Styela clava: one gene and its partners. The protein of the gene in region 3 purifies or fractionates together with the protein of the main gene of each other region. This does not show direct contact. Links are inferred from orthologs where the notes say so. Each region holds a gene or a part of one and is shown on either strand. Other genes may lie near its edges.

What was found. Proteins that work in one complex are often made in the same cells at the same time.
Region 1: the proteins of proteasome activator complex subunit 3-like (region 3) and small ribosomal subunit protein mS34-like purify together in Homo sapiens (co-immunoprecipitation; 3 studies listed by BioGRID and IntAct, counting the BioPlex papers as one, with this or other methods). This does not show direct contact. The link is inferred for Styela clava from reciprocal best matches to the Homo sapiens genes PSME3 and MRPS34.
Region 2: the proteins of proteasome activator complex subunit 3-like (region 3) and importin subunit beta-1-like purify together in Homo sapiens (affinity purification with mass spectrometry; 3 studies listed by BioGRID and IntAct, with this or other methods). This does not show direct contact. The link is inferred for Styela clava from reciprocal best matches to the Homo sapiens genes PSME3 and KPNB1.

The regions. Positions count from the first base shown.
Region 1 is NC_135257.1:12,544,955-12,552,568, forward strand, and holds the start of small ribosomal subunit protein mS34-like, read right to left. Parts: upstream 3,011-7,614; 5' UTR 2,910-3,010; coding exon 2,871-2,909; intron 2,767-2,870; coding exon 2,638-2,766; intron 2,543-2,637; coding exon 2,429-2,542; intron 1,648-2,428; coding exon 1,570-1,647; intron 1,102-1,569; coding exon 949-1,101; intron 617-948; coding exon 515-616; 3' UTR 1-514. Other genes in the region: uncharacterized protein LOC120345794, read right to left, coding at 3,836-5,326, 5,678-6,019. UniProt on the Homo sapiens protein: Required for mitochondrial translation, plays a role in maintaining the stability of the small ribosomal subunit and the 12S rRNA that are required for mitoribosome formation.
Region 2 is NC_135250.1:22,447,579-22,455,651, reverse strand, and holds the start of importin subunit beta-1-like, read right to left. Parts: upstream 3,011-8,073; 5' UTR 2,891-3,010; coding exon 2,848-2,890; intron 2,303-2,847; coding exon 2,163-2,302; intron 1,742-2,162; coding exon 1,640-1,741; intron 1,213-1,639; coding exon 1,012-1,212; intron 1-1,011.
Region 3 is NC_135250.1:5,804,024-5,811,325, forward strand, and holds proteasome activator complex subunit 3-like, read right to left. Parts: upstream 3,037-7,302; 5' UTR 2,986-3,036; coding exon 2,212-2,985; 3' UTR 108-2,211; downstream 1-107. Other genes in the region: exocyst complex component 2-like, read right to left, coding at 1-64. UniProt on the Homo sapiens protein: Subunit of the 11S REG-gamma (also called PA28-gamma) proteasome regulator, a doughnut-shaped homoheptamer which associates with the proteasome. 11S REG-gamma activates the trypsin-like catalytic subunit of the proteasome but inhibits the chymotrypsin-like and postglutamyl-preferring (PGPH) subunits.

The DNA of each region.
Region 1 (7,614 bases), on a different chromosome or scaffold from region 3:
CTCAAGTATGAACCTGAACTTAAGTTGCGTACCAGGTTAGGATTCAGGTTGTGCGACATCTTGGAGTGCATACTTCAGAGTACCCAAAATTGTATTCAACTATTAGGAATTCTGAATATCATTAGAACAACACTACTGGTCAAAGTATCTTTGATCAGGAGGATGATTTGAAAATAGATCATCAGCTAAACATCAGTTAAAACTTCAAATTATACATTGAACATAACAATCAACATTTCCAATTTGAAATACAAAGGCGGGCATAAACATAAAACATGATTTGTGTTTGTCCAAACTGAAAATGCATTTGAAACTTGGAACATTTACTTTGGAAAATTTTTTTGGAACAAACAATCATATGGATGCTCAAAGTCCTTTTCGCGGACGGAGCAAAGGGAGATTAGACATCAGCACTCCACACAGTTTTTTGGTTCTAGACCAGAAGTCAGAATCTTTATCAGCTAATGCATTCACGTTCTCCAATAACAAACAACCAGATAGATGTATCGAATGATCAAACCAAACTTCCATCATCCAATCTTTGCCTTTCAATACATTCTCTATTTCTGTCCAATAGAAGTTTTATCATGGGTTGCAGGTTTGCATCTGGTGATTTCTGTTAATAAATGCAATGTTTAGAAATATTACGACCAAGTACATTACAGAGTCAGGCAAGTCCCACTCAAATTAACCACTATCCAACAAGTATTCAAAATGAGAAAATTTATAATAAAAATATTAAAATCTAAAATCAGATTATGTGGTCCGACTATATATATTTCCGAAATTGATACGGTATCACAAGAGGCTGATTGATATTAGGATATATATTAAATCATTTCTAGTAATAAACTCAAACCATTACTAATTATCCTATATGCTTGAAACAAATTTTCACCAAGATCACACATCTCACTTTCACAACAATAAATATATATTACATCTTACCTCTTGTAACTTTTCAGCTTTGAGCATTTCTGTGAGTAAAGGTGGAGTCCTGAAGTACAGAGGAACTTCTTTAGTTTCTTTTGATTTTGGTACAAAATTCGTGAAGTGGGGTTCATCCAACTTAGGAATGAGTCTCCAACCATGCCTATTTATCTAAAAATAAAAGAAAAATACCCTGTGGATGATGTGCTGAAAAAAAGTCACACAGTGCGTCTGTGTGGTCCTGCAGTCAAATAGTTGAAAGCTGAGAATGAGGAGCTGTATATATGTGTATCTTTACAACAAATGCAACAGTAGCGTTAGCATTAAAAAATGAAATTACTTAAAAGAATCTTTGCTGATATAATAACGACTACTAAAATTTCTCCTCATTGAAATGAATCAGGATGTGTGTGAATTTATGGAGAAAGCACAATCAGAAAAACACATTTATTAGAAGAATAATGAAATCAGCAGAAACACATTAGACATTCATAATACCTTAGTTAGAATATTGGAAAAATTAGACAGAAGATAAATACCATATAACATGTAATTAGTGGACAACTCCATAATACTATTTCTTAAATGTTTGGTGAGCATTCGGGACATCAACCTCATTAATAACAAAACCTTACTCACTCTCGGAATTTGTTTTTCATATTCTTCACACCAACCTTTCCATGTGAATATCCCCCATGCTATGCCAAAATTCAGATCCTGTTGATACAAAAACATTTTCAATGGCTACTGGACGATAATATTTCACTGCAGCATAGGAAAATTTCTTAAATTTATCTCCTGTGGCATTTAATTCTAAAGAATAACACTAACTGTATTGGTAAGGACCCAATAAATGTGAACAATAATTGAATAAAAATTTGACAATGATAAAGTCAGTTTTCGGTAAAAATATTTTGTTCACAATTGTATTACAAAATCGTATATTCAATGTCATCCAACAAGTGTGCAGTTGATGCTGTTTTTCTTTATTTTTCTCAAGTAGAATATGCACGTCGAACACTGAAAATTTGTAACATAAATGACATACAATAACAGATCCAGATTTTATTAAAACACTTTCATATGTCCGAATCACGCTGCATCTCTCTTGTAGCAGAGCAATCACGATACTATCTCGATTCGTGAATTGAGCGATAGCAGGATAAGATCACCCAAAATTGCTTTGTAATCATTGTGACGTAACAAGCCAAAATTATAAATTATTATGTCAAACGTCACGCTGCGGTTAACCAGTTAATTTTACCCAGTAAACAGTTAAAGTGTTTTCCCTGGAATTCCCAGCCCCATTTACCATCTACTACTTGCCAGATACATTTATTGAATATCGATTTATTTTTACCTGTCCTACTCTCATCCATATTTAAGTTAATGAATAAACATGCCGAATCAAGTTGTTATGATACAGGTAATTACCGGCTCCTGATAAAAAAAAATTCTACAACCAACAAAAATTGGCAAATCAATAAATTTCACTTACATGATCATCTTGATCAACAAGAACTCTGGTTATTCTCCAGTAAGTCGGATCATCATAAAAACCAGTCATGTCTTGCTTGAAAATGAATAACCGTCCAACTCCCCAGTTTGGAAGCTACAAATGATAATAAAGAATAATTTTCAAATTGTCAAGTTATTGCAGGTCCAATTATTCTGTATGATTCAGCAGCTATAAGAAATTAAATCAACCTGTTTAAGAACTTGAAACAGAAGCTTTTCATTCTTTATATCTTCTACTGCTTTTTCTGGTGGCATTGGTATTCGCGGATCATTGAATATTTTATTCACTGGTATACCAAACTGACTTGCCACACTTTCCTGAGATAAAAATATGAAATTTGAAACTTTACATTTGCTGTTGAGTAAGCAAAACTTAGCTCTAGAAAGTGAAAAAACTTTTTCAAGTCTTATAGGAGACTCACCATTAATCTTTTGTCCAATATTGCCGCCCTATACCTCATTTTGTATAGTATTTTCAGTGTTTATAGTCTAGTACCTAGTGGAAAATAACAAACAAAAATATAGATATGATACATTTACAATTCGGCATATTAAATGAACATTTGTTTGCAAGTTTTTATACTTATTTAAAAAACGGGTTGTCCCTTTTCTATGTGAAAAATATAATGATAGCTTATGTGGCCAAAATACATTTTATAATGCTGGCCAACAATTCTTCATTACATTTTGATACTGCCACTCAGGTGGTCTCGGAACTATAGCGATGTGGGAAGTATAGTACTTAAGGAACTCTCAGTTTATGTATTACAGTTACCGCAATGTCAGCAAAATGTCAAAAGAATTGTGCTGAATGTCATATGGAATAGTAATAGAATTATCATAACAAACGATGTGTGGAGGTTTGCATTCGAATTGAAAAAAATCAGAAAAATTATTTTGGGTGAATCATCAGGCCTCAAAGTACTAAATTTGTAAAAATACAAGCAATAACCGGCACTCCTGAAGTATGCGCACCAAGATGTCACACAGCCTGAACCCTGACCTGGTACACAACCTGAGTTCAGGTTGTGCGCCATCTTGGTGTGCATACTTCCGGAGGTCCCAATAACCTCCATCCATCTTCAAGCACTAAAAAGATTAAAATGTATTCATCAATTATTTGCAAAGAGGAAACCAACAAAAACTATTTAGCAGCAATCCATAGATACACTTGGTATGCAACCAAGCTCTATCAATTTCAGGGTTCAATACGAAAGAATAATTTTGAGCACACACCACATTTTTGACTACCGTACTTCAGTTTTAAGTCAAGCAAAATTATGAAATGTGTCATTATTTAAAGGTTGACACAAATACTGATTTTCTGTTTGAAAACCATTCAAAGATTCATGCGCTTATCAAAAAACATAAAAATAAGAATTGTATTTTATAGCTTTTCAAGCTTGTTTCTATATTCTTCCCATGTCATACCATTAGCAGTTACCCAAGGTGTCTGGTATTGGGCAGGCTGCTCATACCATGATTTAATCATTGATTCTAATGTTTGAGTCTTAGTTAATGCATCTTTAGTTACACCCATGCCAGTTTTATATTTCCTACAAATCGACTCAGTGGTTTCTTCTGAAATCCCTTCTACTCTCTTAGCTAGATTAGTCACATGGCAACATTTTTCAGTCATGTTTGAAGAAAAGTCAGAATTTTCCTGCTGAAGATTCTCGGCTCGAGCAATTTCATGTTTAATATCTGAAATCCTTTGCAATAATGAACTTGGAGCTCTGTGGCCGGAAAATCGCAGTGAATGCCCACACTTTCGATAAGATAAGCTATTGGAGGTATATATTCCCAAATGACAGAGTGGCGTCAAACCCGCATTATCTAACATTATCCTCCGAATTTTATTCACATCTGCATGTCCCAAAAAGGAGCAACAAGTATGCATAACTGATAGTAAATCAGTGCAACTCTGATTAAGCCATTGTCGTTTCGCAATAATACAAGTTTTCGCTGCATTGATCACTTCAGACTGGCGTTCTTGTATCTTTGACTTGACTGTTGAATTATGTTTTATAATTTCAATAATATTTGTTTGATGAACAGCAAGGCTTTCAGAAAAGCCATCAATTTCATTCTTCAACTTCATTAGTTGGTTATGTTCATCTGTTTTCATTTTAATATCACGATGCAATCTAGCAAAAGAAGCTTGAAATGATCGAAGGCAACCTTGAACACTAGCAAACTCGACCTTGGTATCAAGGTCATCAATTAATAGTTGTAGAATTGTTGGTGAAAGATTGTATTCTGCTTGAAAGCTTTGAATAATGTAATTTCTTTCAGTTTCAGCTTGCAACAACATATTCTCTGCATTCCTTTCACTATTCAAACACTGCGTGAGAACTTGTACGCATTCGAGTTCCCAATTTTGAAGCATATTCTGAACTGTAGCTAGAGCATTTTGTTTTTCAGTTGTGTCTTCAATTCCATATTTAGCTCTTAAACCATCCAATTCTTCCTGCAAATGTATAGCTTTTTCTTCTTCAACAATTACGGCTGTTGATGAATCTACGAGTTGCTGAAAATTACAGGCAATCACATCTGAAGCAAATTTTTGCATCAATTCACGAATGAAACACCATTGGTTATCAATTTTATCATGATTTTTAGTTGAATTCAACTCTTTTGATTTTAGGTCATTTTCTAATTGTGAGAAAAGTTTGTTCAATGCTAGACTGCAAGATCGAGGCTCTGTGTCCTCATTGTGCTTAAAATAAGTAGCGCAAAGTTCACTAATCCATTTTTGATAAGATTTTAGCATAAAGTTTTTGTGCCTCAGATATCCGCTGGAATTACGATGTAAACAAGCTTTCATCTGATTTGACTTCACATCATCTTTGACTGCTTTTACTTTCAAATCAATATCCTGTGAAAATGTAAAAAAAATCAATCAGCAAATTTAATATAGGCCTACTTATCACATAATATGTATACTGTTGTTATAAGCTCACATAGGATATTTTTTAAGTTATCACAATAGATGACTACAAGAAAGTAAGAGTTAGAGAACAAAAATGAAAAAAGGAAATCTATTAGAACAGAGTCAATATCCATAAACGGTATTCTAAAAAGTTGGAAAGGAAAAAATAGTCGGTACAACTTTTAGAGGAATTTATAGAGGCACAGTCACACTGTGCATTATAAACAGTTATCAATTTCAATTTTTGTATTTTAGAAATTGTATATCCTGCAAATATAGTCTGCATTGTATTTTCACCTGCAAATCTTCTTTGTAGCTTTGAAGTTGAAGTTCCAGCGATTCAATTTCTTTATCTAATGCTGTAGATTCCCTCAAGTTTTCTTCAACTGTTGTATATGATCGTAATGCTTCGGCCATAAGATTTTCTAAAATTAGGTTTTTACGAATGTCACCCGCAGATTTTTTAGACTTTATCACATTTATTACATCCTTCCAAAGACTCATCATTGCTGTTCCTTTACAGACAGGAATCAAATCGGTTTGAATCTCCCTCTTGTCCGATCTCACAATCGATGAGAAACCCATTTGTTCCTTAGCCCAAGTCTCTAATTCGATTGCCAAAACTTTGTTTTCAGACATTATGAATTCTTCGTCTTAAAGCAGTACCGTAAGGATCAGTTCTAAATATTTTTTATTCTGTTATCAGAATATAAAAATGAGCAATTACCGTATACAAGTACCGGTACCGGTATGGCAATAAGTTAAATAATGAAATAAATACTTAGATTACAGGATTAGTAAGAGTACCTAATGCTTTGCTCTAGTGCATTCTGCATTGTACGGTACCAAGATATCTGAAATCACTGAATTCTAAAATTTGTAATGTCGATACAAGGATAACTTACTGCCAGTACTGATGTACTGGTACCGCTGTACCGGCACACTTACAGTTAATGTACCTACGTTACATCCCACCACTGATTCCTGGATTCCGTGATTGTCTTGTACGAAGCCGCATGTCAGACTGTGAAATCCTGCGGTACCGGTACCGGTACCGGTACCTATCGGCTGACCGCCAATAGAATTTTAAGACCGGTATCGTAGGTCTCCTTGCAGTTGTACTGGTGCAGTACCGGTACCGGTACCATACCGCCAGGCGGTTACCGTACTACCGGTAGGGTATAAAGAAAATCGTGTTTATCCGTCTGTCTTGCGCGTCCATCCCTATGCTGTTACTGTGGTATGACAGTACAGGTAGGCCTACCGGGTAATACACGATAGGTACCGGTAATGTACCGGTACCGTACCGTGCGCTCGACCTAACCTTGTCCTTGGGAGTAAACGCGTGCCTGGCCGCTGACAGTAGAAGGGATTCTCCCTGAATTCGAAACACTGCGCCGAAAATTTCATCAACCTTTGACCCAGAAAAGTTCGAAAAGCAATCACAATGGACCTTTCACCCCCCCTAAAATTCTGCAATACAAAGTTTTCGGGGCTGATTTTAGAGTGCTTCCGCCAGTTGGCGCCTGTAAAATGGGGTATGTGTTCCAAACCATCATTATGATTCATCGCATACAACAATCTGTTTTTTAAAAGTACCGGTGAATTTTTTTAGCCTAGTCTATTACAGCTATTTCTACACTAATTTCTTATTACTGCAATTGAATTAAAACTCCTGAGAAGACAGAGTGATCATTGAATTATCTGATTTATATTTAAGTTTCCGAAACACAACAGAAAACTAACGAATAGAGTTCAAAAACGCGAAAACGAGGTAATGTTTACGACCACGCTTGAAAATCTGTCTGAGTGAGAAAAGTGTCTGAGCGGATGCGAAAAGGGAGTATTGTTACGCCACTTTTTGCATCTTGCTGATTGGCCAATGTCACGAAGTAAACAAGGAAGTCAGAGGGAGAGAGAGAATTTATTATTTCGTCAACCATAAAAAAAAATAATAATAATAAATATAATAATAATAAAATAAGTGAAACAAAAGTTTTCGGTATGACTGGGAGGTAACGATACGACCAGTTACGGTCATCTGAGTCAGTTACCACCCAATACAACACATGAATAAATACATAAATTGCCACAGGTTCTTTTTTTTTAACTCTCAGTCTATAGAGAACTATTTGCACTATTTACAAAACGAGGATAAATTTTGGATTCATCTAATCAGGGTTGGGAATTTATTGTGCAAAATGACACATTTATAACAGTAACATAATGTGGTT
Region 2 (8,073 bases), about 17 Mb from region 3:
TTCCATCGAGAGCTAAAGAGCTATATGAGGCATGGAGTCGAGTTTGATTTGTTTTTATCAGATTTTGATTTAGTCAGAATTTGAGACATTTCTTGGTGGCGATGGAAATCAAAATTTTTACATAGAAACTCAAAAAAATTGATTTGGCGAAGCGTTCCAAACATTCGTTGTGCGAAGCGTTCCAAACATTCGTTGTGCGAAGCTTGCATACAACACAGTTTATTTTTTGAAATTTGCATTCCCTAAAAGTTTGGAGCTGTAGTTGAAAAAATGACCCACAATAAACTGTAATTTTAATTACGATATACAGATTGAAGAAAAAAAGATTTTTTCTTTTTGAGGAAATTTGCTCAAAGCACGGTTGTCACATGCATTCACTTAGGAACTGAAAGGATTGATTGCTGAGCAAAGTTACAATTGACCACTAGAAAGCGAAGAGCTGCTAAAAATATAAAAATTACATGAAGATGAACAATTAGATTACAATTAGATGAAATTACACGTTAGTATATACAAATTGGTATAAAAATACTCAATTCCACATAAATGTCTTTTCTTTTGTCTGGTATGTGCACTGATTGTAAAGTTATTAACAGCCAACCATGTTTATCGACTGAAAACATTTGAGGGAAAAATTCTGAAAGTTCAGATCATAATAATAATTGTAACACTAATTCAGCATCCTGTTATTAACCACAGCACGACTAATCATAGTATTTTGATTGTAACCTTATATATATTTCAATAAGCATATGTAATATAGACAAGATAGTGTCAGCAACGAGATATCCATGATTCAGATCTATGATGTTGTTTCAAGCAACAGAATAGTACATTTGTCAGTAGTAATAAATAGTCACCAGGAAACAGGACCACCAATATGACATGCAATAGCTTTCTCTGTGAGTCACAAGTTCTTAAACCATACAGTTGCTTACTACTAATTTGCCAACTGGGCATCATGCATTGCATGTCAGTATACAGTGCCATGAAAATATTCATTCACATTACCATATCTGCACAAATGTATCCGATAGCCTCCAGTGCTCCCTCCTTCAAATGTTCAGTGCTTGTTTCTGCAGTCACACTTTGCACAAGTTGAGGAATAAGCTCTTTCCATCCATCTAAAGGTATTTCAGCACATGCGATTGATGCAATTACTTGTGCCGCTGATGAAGGTCTGTTAGTTTCTGTGCCCAATGCTTGAAGAACCTGAGATATTACAATAAATATTAGTATTGTGTCAACTTATCATGAGTGGAAAAGACCTTATTGTGTCAACTTATCATGAGTGGAAAAGACCTTATTGTGTCAACTTATCATGAGTGGAAAAGACCTTATTGTGTCAACTTATCATGAGTGGAAAAGACCTTATTGTGTCAACTTATCATGAGTGGAAAAGACCTTATTGTGTCAACTTATCATGAGTGGAAAAGACCTGGGCCCCTTTTATTAAGAGACCCAACAACCATGTTATTCTATTTTTTTAAAAACATTCTGAAATAGCAATAAATTGATTGAACTCTATTTCATACTGCATACAGAGATCTCACACTATGCTTTCAGCACCTGAAACATTTCACATAAAAACCATCACCTCATTGGAAAATGCTTATGGTAATGTAAAGGTCATACTTACCAGTTTTTTAACTTCTGATCGAGCTGCTTCATTTAGAGACAGCCAACGTTTCTGATTATCGAGCCTGGCAGTTTGGTCTTTTGAAGTTGTATAATTTTTTATCTTGAAAACATAAATGAAGGGTGATACAATTTATGTAAATTAACAAATATCTAATCAAACTTTTTTCAGATTCAAGTTGAGAGCATTCAACTCATCTAAAACATACACTCGATGAAAGTGGATGTCAAATTGTGTAACATGTAACATTATGATGCCATGGATATTTTTGAATTAGCAGAGTAGCAATAGTGTTTAGTGTGACTGTTATATAGCATCAATCAGAAGTAAATTGTAATTCACATTCATGGCTTTGCAGATTTTGGTACATTGACGAAATGAATGTGTGCTTATGAACAGAAAAATGTGCATTCATCAATAACATCTGCGGATTGTACAATTTTGAAAACTTATTATGTGATAAGTGTGCCGCAGTTTTTTGATTTTTTAGTGCGCAGCAATCTAAAAAATATTTGACAATCACCTGCAGACCAGCAGCCATTCTCGAAACTTGGCTGTTTCCAGGGTTTGCCAAAACTTGACATAAGCTGACCAGAAATTCCGCAAGACTGCTTTGTGCGGCTTGTTCCAGAAATCCTTGTGCCTGCTTAATATCATTTGGGTCTGAAAAAGAATATGAATACAATACTTTATGAAAACCTTTATATTCTAAATTTCCCCAGGTTTTTTTTCTAAATTCTGTCACAGGTGTATATATATATAAACTATTACTATTACCAGTAAATATTAAATTTCAGAAATTTGCAAAAAAGGATAGGAATACGATTTTCATATTTGCTGCAATGAAGGATAGGTGGTAATATCGACTAATCATGTGGCGCATCCTGTACAAGTCAGATATGGAAAAAGATAACCTGTTATTTGTTTCAGATGCATGAGCTCGATAGTGGGAAAGCCGTAACTGACCAGTGGTCAAGTGAATTACACTACAGCACTACGGAAGTGAGGAGTCCAGCAATTCTCCCGGCTCCCACGTAAAACTATGAGATTCAAACATTCGAATTCACACAAGTTAATCACAGATGCGATGGAAAGCTTGTTCCTAACACAGTGAATGTTGCGCCAATCATCGAGCCATGATTTCATGAAAACGATTATTCAAAATACAAGCTTAATTAGAGAAATAATATTTATAGCAATAAAGTTACCCGGTGACACAGTCTTATCCAAGATTTCCACAAGAGTCGCCATTTTACTGAGTTTGTAAGCTTATTCTTAAAATTGAAGTTCCAGAGTTGCAAATAAACTAAAAAAAACTATGCCAGCCCTTGAAATTTACAAAATCCTATTATCCTGAAACAAAATTCTTTAGTTTTTAGCTCACAGCAGCAGAAACTCCATAAGCGAAGATTTCAATTTTTTTTGTAGGTGAAAATGCATCTACCTTTTAGTAATACCTAGGTGAGCTATTCTCAAATATATAGAAACTACTGCATAACGGGTACAAAGGCTGCTCATCAACACACAGTAGGGCACAGTTCTCAGATTTCAAGATGCTCCCACATTTGGAACAATAAAAAAAAACACTCTATTTAACTCTGATACGAGGGCATCTGGCACGACGACACGTCAGATCGTTCCATGATTGTCTCGATAATATTTTAAATCAATCTGACCAAAATTGTTCCTTTGCCAAAAACTCTTGAATGCTATGGACTATGGTAACATATTCTTCCTTTGGTAATCATAATTTTGTTTTTCGACAAATCCAATAGCAGAATAGTGACGTTTTTAGATTGCATTTCCTCTTAGTTTATTGCACAGTTGATTTGTGGCAATATAGACACCACGTAAATATATAGATGTCTCATAAAAATGGGATTCGCATTCACTGTTATAATTGATGTGTATTAATGTGAGGCTATGCTCCTGTGCTTAGAATCGGAGAGCTGTGCCATACGGCAGTAAGGTAAGCGCAGATTTGGCCTTAAAAGATTGACAAACAAGCAATATCAAAATACCGGAATATAGAGGCATTTGCGCTACAAAAGAATACATGTTCAACTTTAATTTTTGATAAAAACTTGGTTCTATATCCAGATATGCCTTCAAAAACGCTTCCCAGTGACTTCTTCCATCTTGATGAAAATTCATGAAATTTTAAATCAATTGCCTCATACAGGCAGACAGGCTTAACTTTCAAATAAAACAAAATACAGTAGGGCACACTATACAAATCGGGTGACATTGTCCCGTTTCAGAGAAACCCATTTTACCGATGATCAGACACCCCTACTTTGGGAGACGTCTGGACATTGTTGTCCCTCAATATCAGTAATAATACAGTATAATGAAGTTGCGCAAAAAAATGACAAAAACACAAACTTCAGAACTTAGTTAAACCAGGCTTGGAGCAGAAATAAACAAACAAAATACATGATTGTAATAAACTTTGGGATGTTATACTTTCAAAACACTCAAGGCTTAAGCTAATAATGACCAAGTCAATCCGATACCGGTAATGCCTCATTTCTGTATTTTAAATGTCTGGAAAGGATGAAAATATACAATTTAATTCATTACAAATTCTTGTCTAAACAATTTTGATATCAATCAATCAATTTTATTTTGGTCCCTCTGACATAGGCTAGAACAGTAGAACAAACAACAGCAAACGGAGGGCACATCCAGATCCAGAGATAGCAAAAACATCTGCATTCACCAGTTGGTCTTGCTGCCTTGTGACTCGCAAACGCTAAAACCTGTTCACAAGGCATTGTACGGTATTCTATCACATTACATAAAATAGGCGTACCTCACTCTACTAGGGCCACTCTAAATACAAGATGAATAGCACAATTTCCATGTAAAACTCAACCAGAAAGCATGACCCGGCCACAATACAAGCTTTGGTGGAGGTACTGGTACAGGAAGCCACACATCGCGCCTTATTCGAACATTTCACCACCATAGCATGACGTCATGGAATCAAAATGATTTTCCCCGAGCAGGGTAGCGTACCTAACTCAGATGCGTGATTAGGTCGTATGTGTTTGGTAAATTAGCAATGTGTATGGACGTGTATAGGAGAAAAATGTATTGCAATAAACGGGGCTTTCAAACTGAGAGCCCCGATCCCCCAGTGGGTCGCGGAAGGGCTCGATGTGGGTTGCGGTACCGGTAACAATTAATGTCGGAACCAGCCATAGTTACTTTTCTTCCTTTTTTCTCTATTTATCCTTGTAAAAAATTTACAATAACTTATGTTAAATCAAGATATCGATCAAATTTGAAAGTTTTAGAACCAGTACTGCGATCCACCATCGCGAAAATAGAGCCAATAACGAAATTTAAACCGCCCAAAAGTCTGTCATTCCATCACTAATAAAACTCTTAACCAGTAATTGTCAGTTTGGCGCCAAAGATGGGGAATCATCCATCTTGAAGGATTATTCGACCAGTACCACTTCTCCCTTGGTGCAGAAACAAATGCTACCGTAAATATATACTACAAGATGCTACTGTGGAAAAATTGAACCAAGCGCTCCTAAATATTGAGCATATTAATCGCACTGACCCTCAGTGGTTCTTAAACGATGGTGCGCGTCCCACAAGTAGGGTATAGACAATTTTTTGAGGGACGTGAAGCTAATTAAATATAAAAACATTTGTTAGATTTGATTTTGCCTGCCTTATTCTGAATATTCGCATTTCTTTATTCTGGATATTTACGTTCCATTCATGTAATTTTAACGTGTTTTTGAATAAAACATACTTTCGTCTTACTATCTGTTATTTTCAGCTTATTTTTAGCTAGTTACTTTTGAGGTGGGCGCGAGACTTGACAAATTCTCAAAAAAGAGCGCGTCTTAAAACGTTTGAGAACCACTGCACTAAGTAGCCTTAATTGCCGTAATTTTATGCCAACTAGCCCTGAAAATACGTTCCAAATTGCTTTTGCAAGCCGTTCGCAAATTTCACCAAGCATGCGATCATCTCACCATCAGTTGTTAAAAACAACGGTACGTTATGACGAAATTTCAGGCGATACTGTGGTTTTCCTCCACCAATCAACTAATTTGAATAAATTGATGCAATGAATAAGTTTAATTCACTAAAATTACAAATATTTCAATTGCGTAGTAGGAATGATCTTGGTATAGCAACAGCAAACGTGTTCAGAAAAACTCTCTGGTACAGAAATCTGCTCTCAGCAATTTTCTTCTGTACCGTCATAAATTCTGAACATATTTATTGTTATTATACATACCATTTCTTGTAATTAACACTTTACTCTATAATGAAAAAATAAATAAGAAGTTGTAGAATTATTTAGGAAGAATAATTTAGAATATGACATAGAACAGATTAAGGTTTTTGACCGTTCAGACTGTCGTCAAAAAAGGATTGTTCTCAATTTCGGTAAAAACTAATGAAAATCATAATTTTTGGTTCTCTCGTATCATTTCCACTAAAAAGTTTTAATTAATATGATATTCTCCTAATTTCGAGATAATGCAGATTTACTGTTTAGCCAGTATTTTTTATTTATTTTTTTATATATATAGAATAATTTTTATTAATAAATTATGTACAAAAATAAACACATAGACCATATATATGAAGTGATATAAATTACGCCAACCGATAAACACAAAATAAAATAAGTATTTAAATATTTTGTTTCTTCTATTAACCTATAACATAACGTAGATCAGTTGGTCTAACATTAGTTTCGATCGAACTCTATGAATTTTAATGCCAAGGAATCGACGGGCAAAAAATTTTAGTTTTACATTTCGCACATAACTGTAACTTGCTGCATTTTAACGTATAGGTGTCATCAGTTTTAAGCGTGAAAATTTGGAAAGTTTATATCATGATTCTGGGAGAAAGATGCTTTGGTAGTATATATAGAAGGAAATTACTATTAGGCTACCCCTATTTTCTTTGATTCATTTCTTTAAAAAACTAAGACGGGTCAAAGTTCAACATCGTAACAGAGTCGGTTTGTCGTCAGAAAGGGTTCGGGATCATTATCATATCGACGCACAATCAATCTATAATAAGTGTTTTGAACGATATCACACCACGTTAATGTCTACTCAGATTGTTGCAATATGTTATTCAGAGCTTTTTGCATTTCATCCACTTTAAATCCCAGAGGTCCTTTCGCACTGATATATTCTAAGCAACCGTTGTAGATAATTGCCATACGATCCGGAATCGTACCATATTGCTTCGTTGCCTCATTTTCTATTCCATCCAACACCAAAGGGCACGAAAAGTAGTCTTTAAGATTTTCTGCGGCAGACTGACGATTCTGGAGACTTTTATGAAGGGAAATGTGGTATCTGTGAATGTATACAATGTTAATTAACAAATAGAAAATAAAACAAATTTGTATGTCTATTACTGCCCCGGGTGTCGCAACCGAGAGCAATGTGTATTAAAATAACGAATTCATAATTATTGAAAACAACATATCAGCAAATTGTAGACCGTACTGTTTGCAGAGCAACCATTTTGTGTACAAGCTCTGCATTTCACCGTAAACCCTGCACTTGACAAAACTATCAAAATACATGTAAAAGAATCGTTTTCCTTGATTCTACCTGAAAGCAGTTTGAAAATGTAATTATATCTTTATCGACGTCCGGAGCGTACTTACTTCATGCTTTTCATATGCCAATTACTATCAGTGGCATGGGCTTCTTGAACGTATATTACTAAAAAATCAACTTTCGAACGATATTCCTCTATAAGAGCAGGGAGACGTTCAATCCCGCTGATAAACGGAGGTCAAGTACATGATCCAAAAATGAGGACCAGTGGGCGCCCAATGTTACTGTAGTCTAGTATCCTGGAAAGGAGAGAATGATCTCATTGAAATAGGTAACAAAAATTGTAGTTATAAGTATTGATATACTATATGGAATTAGTAAACCAATGTTTTCTAAAACATGTCCTGGTGCCAACGGAAGGACTTAACCTTTTTGCTTGTACTATGAACACATAATATAGTTTCATCCAAAAAAAAAAAATGATTGGATTTTGAATCTTGATAAAATTGATCCTAGTACTCTAATATTTTACAACTTTAGTTTATATATATATAGGAAATTCCATTTCAAATAGGAGAAATACATCTATTTTTAAAGACTCACTTCTTTTTTTCTAAAGTTTCATGATCGTAAATTGTTGAATTCGGTGCTTTTCGTCCAATCACTGCAGTTCTTTGAATGTCCAAAAGGTATTTTTTACCTACGTGTCGAAGAAAACCCAATGTGCTAAAATTGCGGTAATAAAAGTTAAGACTGTCAGTGGAGAATTGCATTGTTCTATCTACTCTTTTTTAACAAGAACTTAATCTGAAACTCGAACGAGTTTGATTTGAATAAGATATATATATATAGTGAGACTCCCAAAAGAAT
Region 3 (7,302 bases):
TGATCTTCGTTAGCGGCGTTCCAAATTTTGGAGAGACTCCTGTCACAACTGGTGGTGGTCCCATTATGACCCTTGACCCCTTTCAGGAAATCTAATTAACTACCAGGCTGTACAAAGAATTAATATCACTGATTCATTACATTGAAAGAAGAAAATACAGACGGAAATGGCCACCATGTCCGCGATTAGATGGCAGGTTTTTTACAGGAATATTCACTTAAAACAGTGCCATAATGACTTACGATGAACTCAATTAATGAGGATGTTCACTTCCATTACATAACTTGACAATCGCAATAATAAAATCACATGCGCCAAGCCGTCAAAATTATCACCAATTCTAAAATTGCAACCAGCATTAATGTAAAATTATTGCGTCATAATCGCTGTGAAATTCTACAGTATTTATTTAAACAAATATGGAATAAAGTACAAACCACATACAGTGGTAAATCAGTTTGGATAAATAGTATGCTGTTCAGCAATGTTTTTTTCACTGGTTGGGAGCTACTACAAAACAATCGTCTAAGAACAAATAACAAGAAAAAAATGACTGTTTCAGACACCACAGAATACAATGCTAACCCATTATAATTATATACATACAAAACAGTAAATACGACAATTACTAATGTTTTTGTATTTGATTCTACTACGGAGTCATGAGCGGGAGTTAAATTTTATCATAAATCCTGAATCCAAAATTGCATACTTGATCGGACCGTGCAGACCTGGTGAAAATGGTGCTTGAAAAGATAGGTCTTTTTTTCCATCCCCACCATATTACCAATTTAATTTTGAACCTTTTATAGAAAGCTCTCGCCACCTTGAAAACAACACCCTCACCTGCCCTGTTTTAGGTAATTGTAGGTTCGCTAACCCTGACATCTCTGAATTCACAGATGAATTCTATCATTCTTTAATTGTAATTGGATAATCACCAATTTTTTATTATTTTGAGCGCTGGGATGTTTTTTTGTCAGAGGCTTTCTACAAAAGATCCCAATTTTTCAGACATGTCTTACAAAATCGAAGAGGACAAGATGTAACAGGTATAAATATACTGAAATCAGGAATATGTAGTACCTTGATTCAGGCAGTTTAACAACGAGATTCCTTTATTGGAAAACCATCAAGGTTATAAATCGGAATGGGTATAGTAATATTAATATTGACAATATGGTCTTAGCGACATAAGCTATCTGGGTTTGGCTTAAAACAAATACAGAATTTATGTATTTGGGAAATTTGGAATTTTATTTAATAATAAACAATCAAATTGTATACCTAGTAATTAGTAAATGATTGACTAATATGGTTGGAGTCCTCAATAGTACAGGGAGTCTTATTTTGATATGGTCATAACGTCGTAATCCAACTGGGTTTGGCTTGCAACAAATACAGGTTTTATGTATTTGGACAATTTGGAAATCAAATTTTATTTTGTATAACTGGTAATCAGTAAATGATTGACTAATAGGGGTCAGAGTCTTAAATAGTATGAGGAATCTTCTTCTAAGTGATACTTCACTTATTAATGTTACAACAATCAACTATTGGAAAATAGTATCTTAACACTTTCAAAGTCTTTGCATGTGGGGAGGGAAGGCATTTATTACCAACAGTTGTGCTTTATGAATAAATACGGATTAGAATATATTTTAATGGGCATCCTAGACAATTGACAACTTAAAAACGAGATTTAAACACTCAGAGCTAACAATAATTGAACCAGATAATAAAATAAGATACAATCAAAACCTCCTAAATTCAACAATACACCTAAATTTAGCAACTGGAATTTGGACAATATTTTTTATCATTGTATATCCATCACCTGCGTATTATCATTCTGATTCCATAGTTTGTCAAATAATTTATTCAAATACCCTCACAATAAAAGCCAGATAAAACACAAAGAATGGCAGACTGAATGAAATAATAAAATAGTAAATTAATGCGAAACAGCAATTGTGACAATATTAGACAGGCTCAAAACACATAAGCATAAAAACAGATGAATGAATTTTTTACCAAGCTAAAAAAATTTCATGGTGAACTTTTATTCGTAATAAAAATGTTTTCAATAAAATGCCTCGCCAAATACAGAGGATGAACTAATTCTTGCACCAGCCATCTTGAGTCCAATAATATCCTGGCTTTCTATAGTTTTTTGGATCATATCATACTCTCTCGCCAAAGTTTTAGACTTTAATACATTCCATCAATGTTTGAACTTCTCGGTTTCTTGATTTTTTCGATATTCTTTAGAATCAAGTCATGAAGAATGGAATAATGATTTCTCAGCTCACACACTATAAGTCTCAAGCTAAGAAATTCTTTCTCATCGATCTCCTCAACAAAGCGACGATAGTCCTCAACATGAGGATATTTTGCTACTTTGGTGATAATTTTACCTCTTGTGACAAAATATCGTGATATTTGATCTAGAAATGAAGCCGCTTCGCTTTCAACTTGTCTCAACTCTGCAAGAGTATCTTCTTGAATTGAGACTCCAAAATTATTTCCGTCTTCAATTTTTGGAATAAGATGAGTCACCCACATTCGAACAGTATTAACTTTTTCCATCAGTAGACGAATATCGGGTTTTATTCGATCGATTATTGCTATTAGATTTTTATTGCAGGGCACTGGACCACAAGCAAATGAAAATACTTTGGTACCATCAATGTCACCTCCCGGTCCTACATCAAGTTTACGTTTTTTGGGGCTCGTAACATGACCATCAACGTTATTAAAGTCTTGCACAATAACTGCATTTGGAATGGGAATTTCAAGTTTTTGTGCAATGTTTCTGACGTTTTCAGTCTGTAAAACATCTTCTTTTAAAAATTTATCTAGTTCAATACATTTCTTTGGAAAAAATTCATTGACTAAAATTTCAGCATCTTTAGCGATTCCAAGTTTAAAATCAGAAATTTCTTTCCTCAGTTGCTTATCCTTGATTTGTAAATCTTGATCCATTATTTTATTTTGATATTTTAGTAGTTAAATACCTGTAATACAAGAGTGTGGAAATGTGAAAAAAGCCCTTCTGCTATCAAATTCAGCAATTTTTACAGTACTGCAGTAAATAGTTTTAGTAGGCCTAAGTAAAAGGCTTATACATAAAAACATGAAAAACGCTAGTACTGTTAGTTTCTATAGGCCAGTGGTCTATCTGCCTGTAGCAAAATTTACAAATGGTGCCGGCCAGCCGGTAGTGTAAAGGCAGAGTAAGGGTTATTGAATTATAGGGGTAGTCACTACAGCAGCCTTCCGAACTGAGAAAAACTGACCAAACTATGTTCTTTCGGTACCGGTTACGAACGTATCGGCAGCCTATCTCGATTCCAAAACTCCAACTCTGTCACCACTGCACTTGCACGAATCAATGAGAATTCTTATCTATTTTTCTTGGTTTCCCGTACTACTGAGGAGCTATACACTACCGGTAATATCGTCTTATATTGAGATATGAAAATTAAAATCTCAAAACTTTCAGAAAACAGCCACTCGCAAAATAAATCTTTTTAGCCCATCGTGACTCATGGTATTGCGCGGAGTCAATTCCGGATAGAATAAATTCCAATGTCATTCGTAGAACTGGGAAGCGCAGTCTTTGGATTTGAATCAATATTATAATTACTTGTCTTATATACACTGAAAACGGAAACAACCTAACGTTCTTCACGGATAATTTGCTTCAAGCTGTGATAAAGTGATAACCGGACTGGGTAGTGTGCGAGTAACGAGGCTCCAAATCAAACAGACCTTAGCACGTCGTAAGATAATACTGCTGTCTTTCCTAAAAACTACGCAACAAGCTGATTAAATAGTAATTTGTAGCGCCGGAATCGTAAACCGTTTAACCGTTAGAATCACATTTGGCATCGCACCGCTGATTTCCCCGTGTGGGTCAGCAGGTGCGCATCCTGTGAAGATAATTATGTGCGAGAGACGTCCCAGACTCCTCGTCGTCGCAGGGTGGTTCACGTTTGTCAAAGAAACGAGAATTTCCCGCGGCCGATATGATTAGCCTGGTGTCACTCAATTCGACTTTCAGTGTTGTCGTGCTGATGTGATTCGTAATGATCCGAAAGCATAATCTCTCTGATTTTCATCGTTTTTTGGATTTGGATTTCATTGCATGTTCTGGTGCCGTGGCATTTTATTATAGCCTCGAGTTTCTCAAAATGTATCTAAATTTAACGTACTATCCAATCTACTTAGGTGATTAGCGTACGTATCCTCCATTATTTACCATATTATAGATGTGACAATATAATGCAATGTAACTTGTAATGCATCCTAGTATAGAAAATAGGACGTCGCTTGTCAACACCACTTTTTTATATTGGAAACTATTAATAACAATTTATATAAAACGATGGGAACCCTTTGTACAAAGTTCCCACCAGAAAACATCCCCTCCGAGGAATAACTCCAAAAGCAAGCAATAACGCGAGAAAACATTTAAAATACCTGATTAAAGTTTTTAAGGTTTGTTATTCAAGCACCAACTCTTCAATTTCTTGTCCAACACAATATAATTTTTTGCGCATAAAATTATTTGTGATCGAATTATTCAGACGAAACGGTTTACTTTCAAAATTACGAAAGCCAGAACGATTACCCTAAACATTTTATCGGCAATGTATCTGGTCAAAGTATGTTTGAATATTGAAATAAAGTTCTAGCGCTCTACTGGCTGAGGATTTGATCAAAACATATGTTGTCATTTTGTTTGTGATATTTTGATTAGGCTTCATCTCTAAATGCGGATATCTGACCTTATAATGTGCTGGATCAATGAGTTTGGCTGGGGGTGGTAAACGTACTCTTATTATGGGTACTATGTAGTACTTTCTGTTTGTATTCCATCGATCTGAGATGATCCCATATAAATACATTACAGCCGTATTTACCATTACAGTATAGGGCAGGGGTGTCAAACATGCGGCCCCAGAGAACTTCCAATGCGGCCCTCGAACGCTTAACAATAATTGTAATTATTTTGTAAGTATTTTTTATCTAATTGATTATTCACACACAAAAAGGACAATTTACAAAAACTAGTTTTGAAAAATTGATTTTTTTATTTTCAATTTGACCCAATTATGGATACACTTCAAGCTAGCAAAAAAGAATTGAAAAAAACAACACTTCAGGAACTAAATGAAACGCAATGTACACAAAGAAATTGGCATTTTCGAAAAAAAGGGGGTTGCAATATTTCTGTATTTCTCAAAATTCTAAAGCACATTGTTTAATTTGGCACATTTATTTTTATGTGTTTATATTATAATTATCGTACTACCTAGTTACTAAAAATCAATATATATAAATCATAATCCAAGCGGTCATATGCCACGTGATGCCAATGGTCGACCCCCCCCCCCCCTTTTGGAATGTGTAAAAACGACGACTAATAGGCGCGACTTGCCACGCGCCGAATAAGCGCATGAAACTTTATGGCTCCGGATGCCGTGGCAAGTAGAAGCGATGTGATTGTGACTGAATAAGGCGATTTATGGACCTTTCCCCGACCTTTGACCCCCATCAATTTTTTCCTATACTTAACCATCGCAAAATTTTTGGTGCTTATTCAAAGAGTGGTTTTGCGAGTTGGCGCCTGTAAAATGGGGTATTTTGCTTCAGACCATTATTCTGATTCATAGCATTCCACAATCTGTTTTGTAAAAGTACCGGTGAAGAATTTTAGCCTAGTCTATTGCAGCTATTTTCTACACTAATTTTTTATTACTGCAGTTAAACTGAAACTTCTAAGAAGACAAAGTGATCATTGAATTATTTGATTTACATTTAAATATTCGAAACAGAACTAAAAATTAACGAATAGATTTCAAAACGCGTAAACGTGGTAATGTTTACGGCGACGCCTGAAAATCAGTCTGAGCGGATGCGAAACACGTCACTCTTTGCATTTTGCTGATTGGCCAATGTCCCGAAGTAAACAAGGAAGTTGATGCTCGGGGAAACATTCAGTTCTCTTAGAAACCTTGCGTTTTGAGGCCTCCGGCCTGTTGCTCTTGCCAGACCACCTTTTGCTGTCAACTCGGCGCCCCGAAAGTATTCGTACCAAGATGACGCACAACCTGAACCCTAACCTGGCACACATACTATCTTCAGGTTGTGCGACATTTCGTACACACCTAAATTTCAGAGCTCCCCCCCCCCCCCTCTTTGAAAATTCCTGGCTACGCCCCTGCTCGTTAATTAGAGTTGATACTGTGAAATCAATTCAGCCCGATATTAGTAAGCTGGTGGCACAAAAGATGCCAAACGTCAGGACATATATAATAAAAAAAAAAAACATGGGAGTTTATTCGTTAGTCTTTTAGGGGTATATATTTAGATTAAGTCATTTTTATTATGTATTATTCTTTTATCAAATCTTTGTTCAAAAATGTTTTGGATAGTTGTAAAAAAAAATTGTTTTTTGGAATAAATAAATTTGCAATAATAAGTGAAATACCAAGAAATTATTATGTAAATGCCATTTAAAATTTCAGAAAATAACAACTTCATTCGGCTATTTAATTGCATCACAATATATGTCACACACTACACATATCTGAAAATATGCTTTTAAGTATACATTATCAAAATATATCAAAAGCTGTTTGCGGCCCTTTGCACAATTCCCAAAATGCAATGCGGCCCTTGAAAACGCACGAGTTTGACACCCCTGGTATAGTAGGCCGCGAGCCGAGGCCATGAAAAACGCCTAGAAAGTGAGTTTCGTAGCGCACATCAGGTAACTACCTGAAAATGATTTAAAAATGTTCCTTAAAAATGTAGTAACAAATATTGCCTTGTTCCCACTTCCAAAAGTTGCACGTTTTACGGAAAAGACGCTTTTACTACAAAAAATCTGTGCTACGATCTGTCCTATATTCTCTACATTTTCGACAATGAACAATGACTTCTGCATGACGTAACAATTGAATCGAATCAGCTGTTAGCGAGCGGATGAATATTAGTTATTACTGCTCGAGCTTGCGTTGAGTTGGGCAGCCTTTCCATAGCCCTGTTTAGTTATTATTAGTTAAGTTATGCTAAGACGTTATTGAAAAATGTATAAGTAAGTTATTAAACTCTTGTAGATCCTTACAACGGATATGGGCCGTGAGACGAAGCCTTGAAAACGCCCAGAAAATGAGTTTCGTAGCGCACATCTGGTAACTAAATAAATCCTTCAGTTTAGTGTGAAAATGAACATACTGAACGCATTACAGCTTGTTCCACAATCCTGATGCGAAATTGAATATAAGAGGT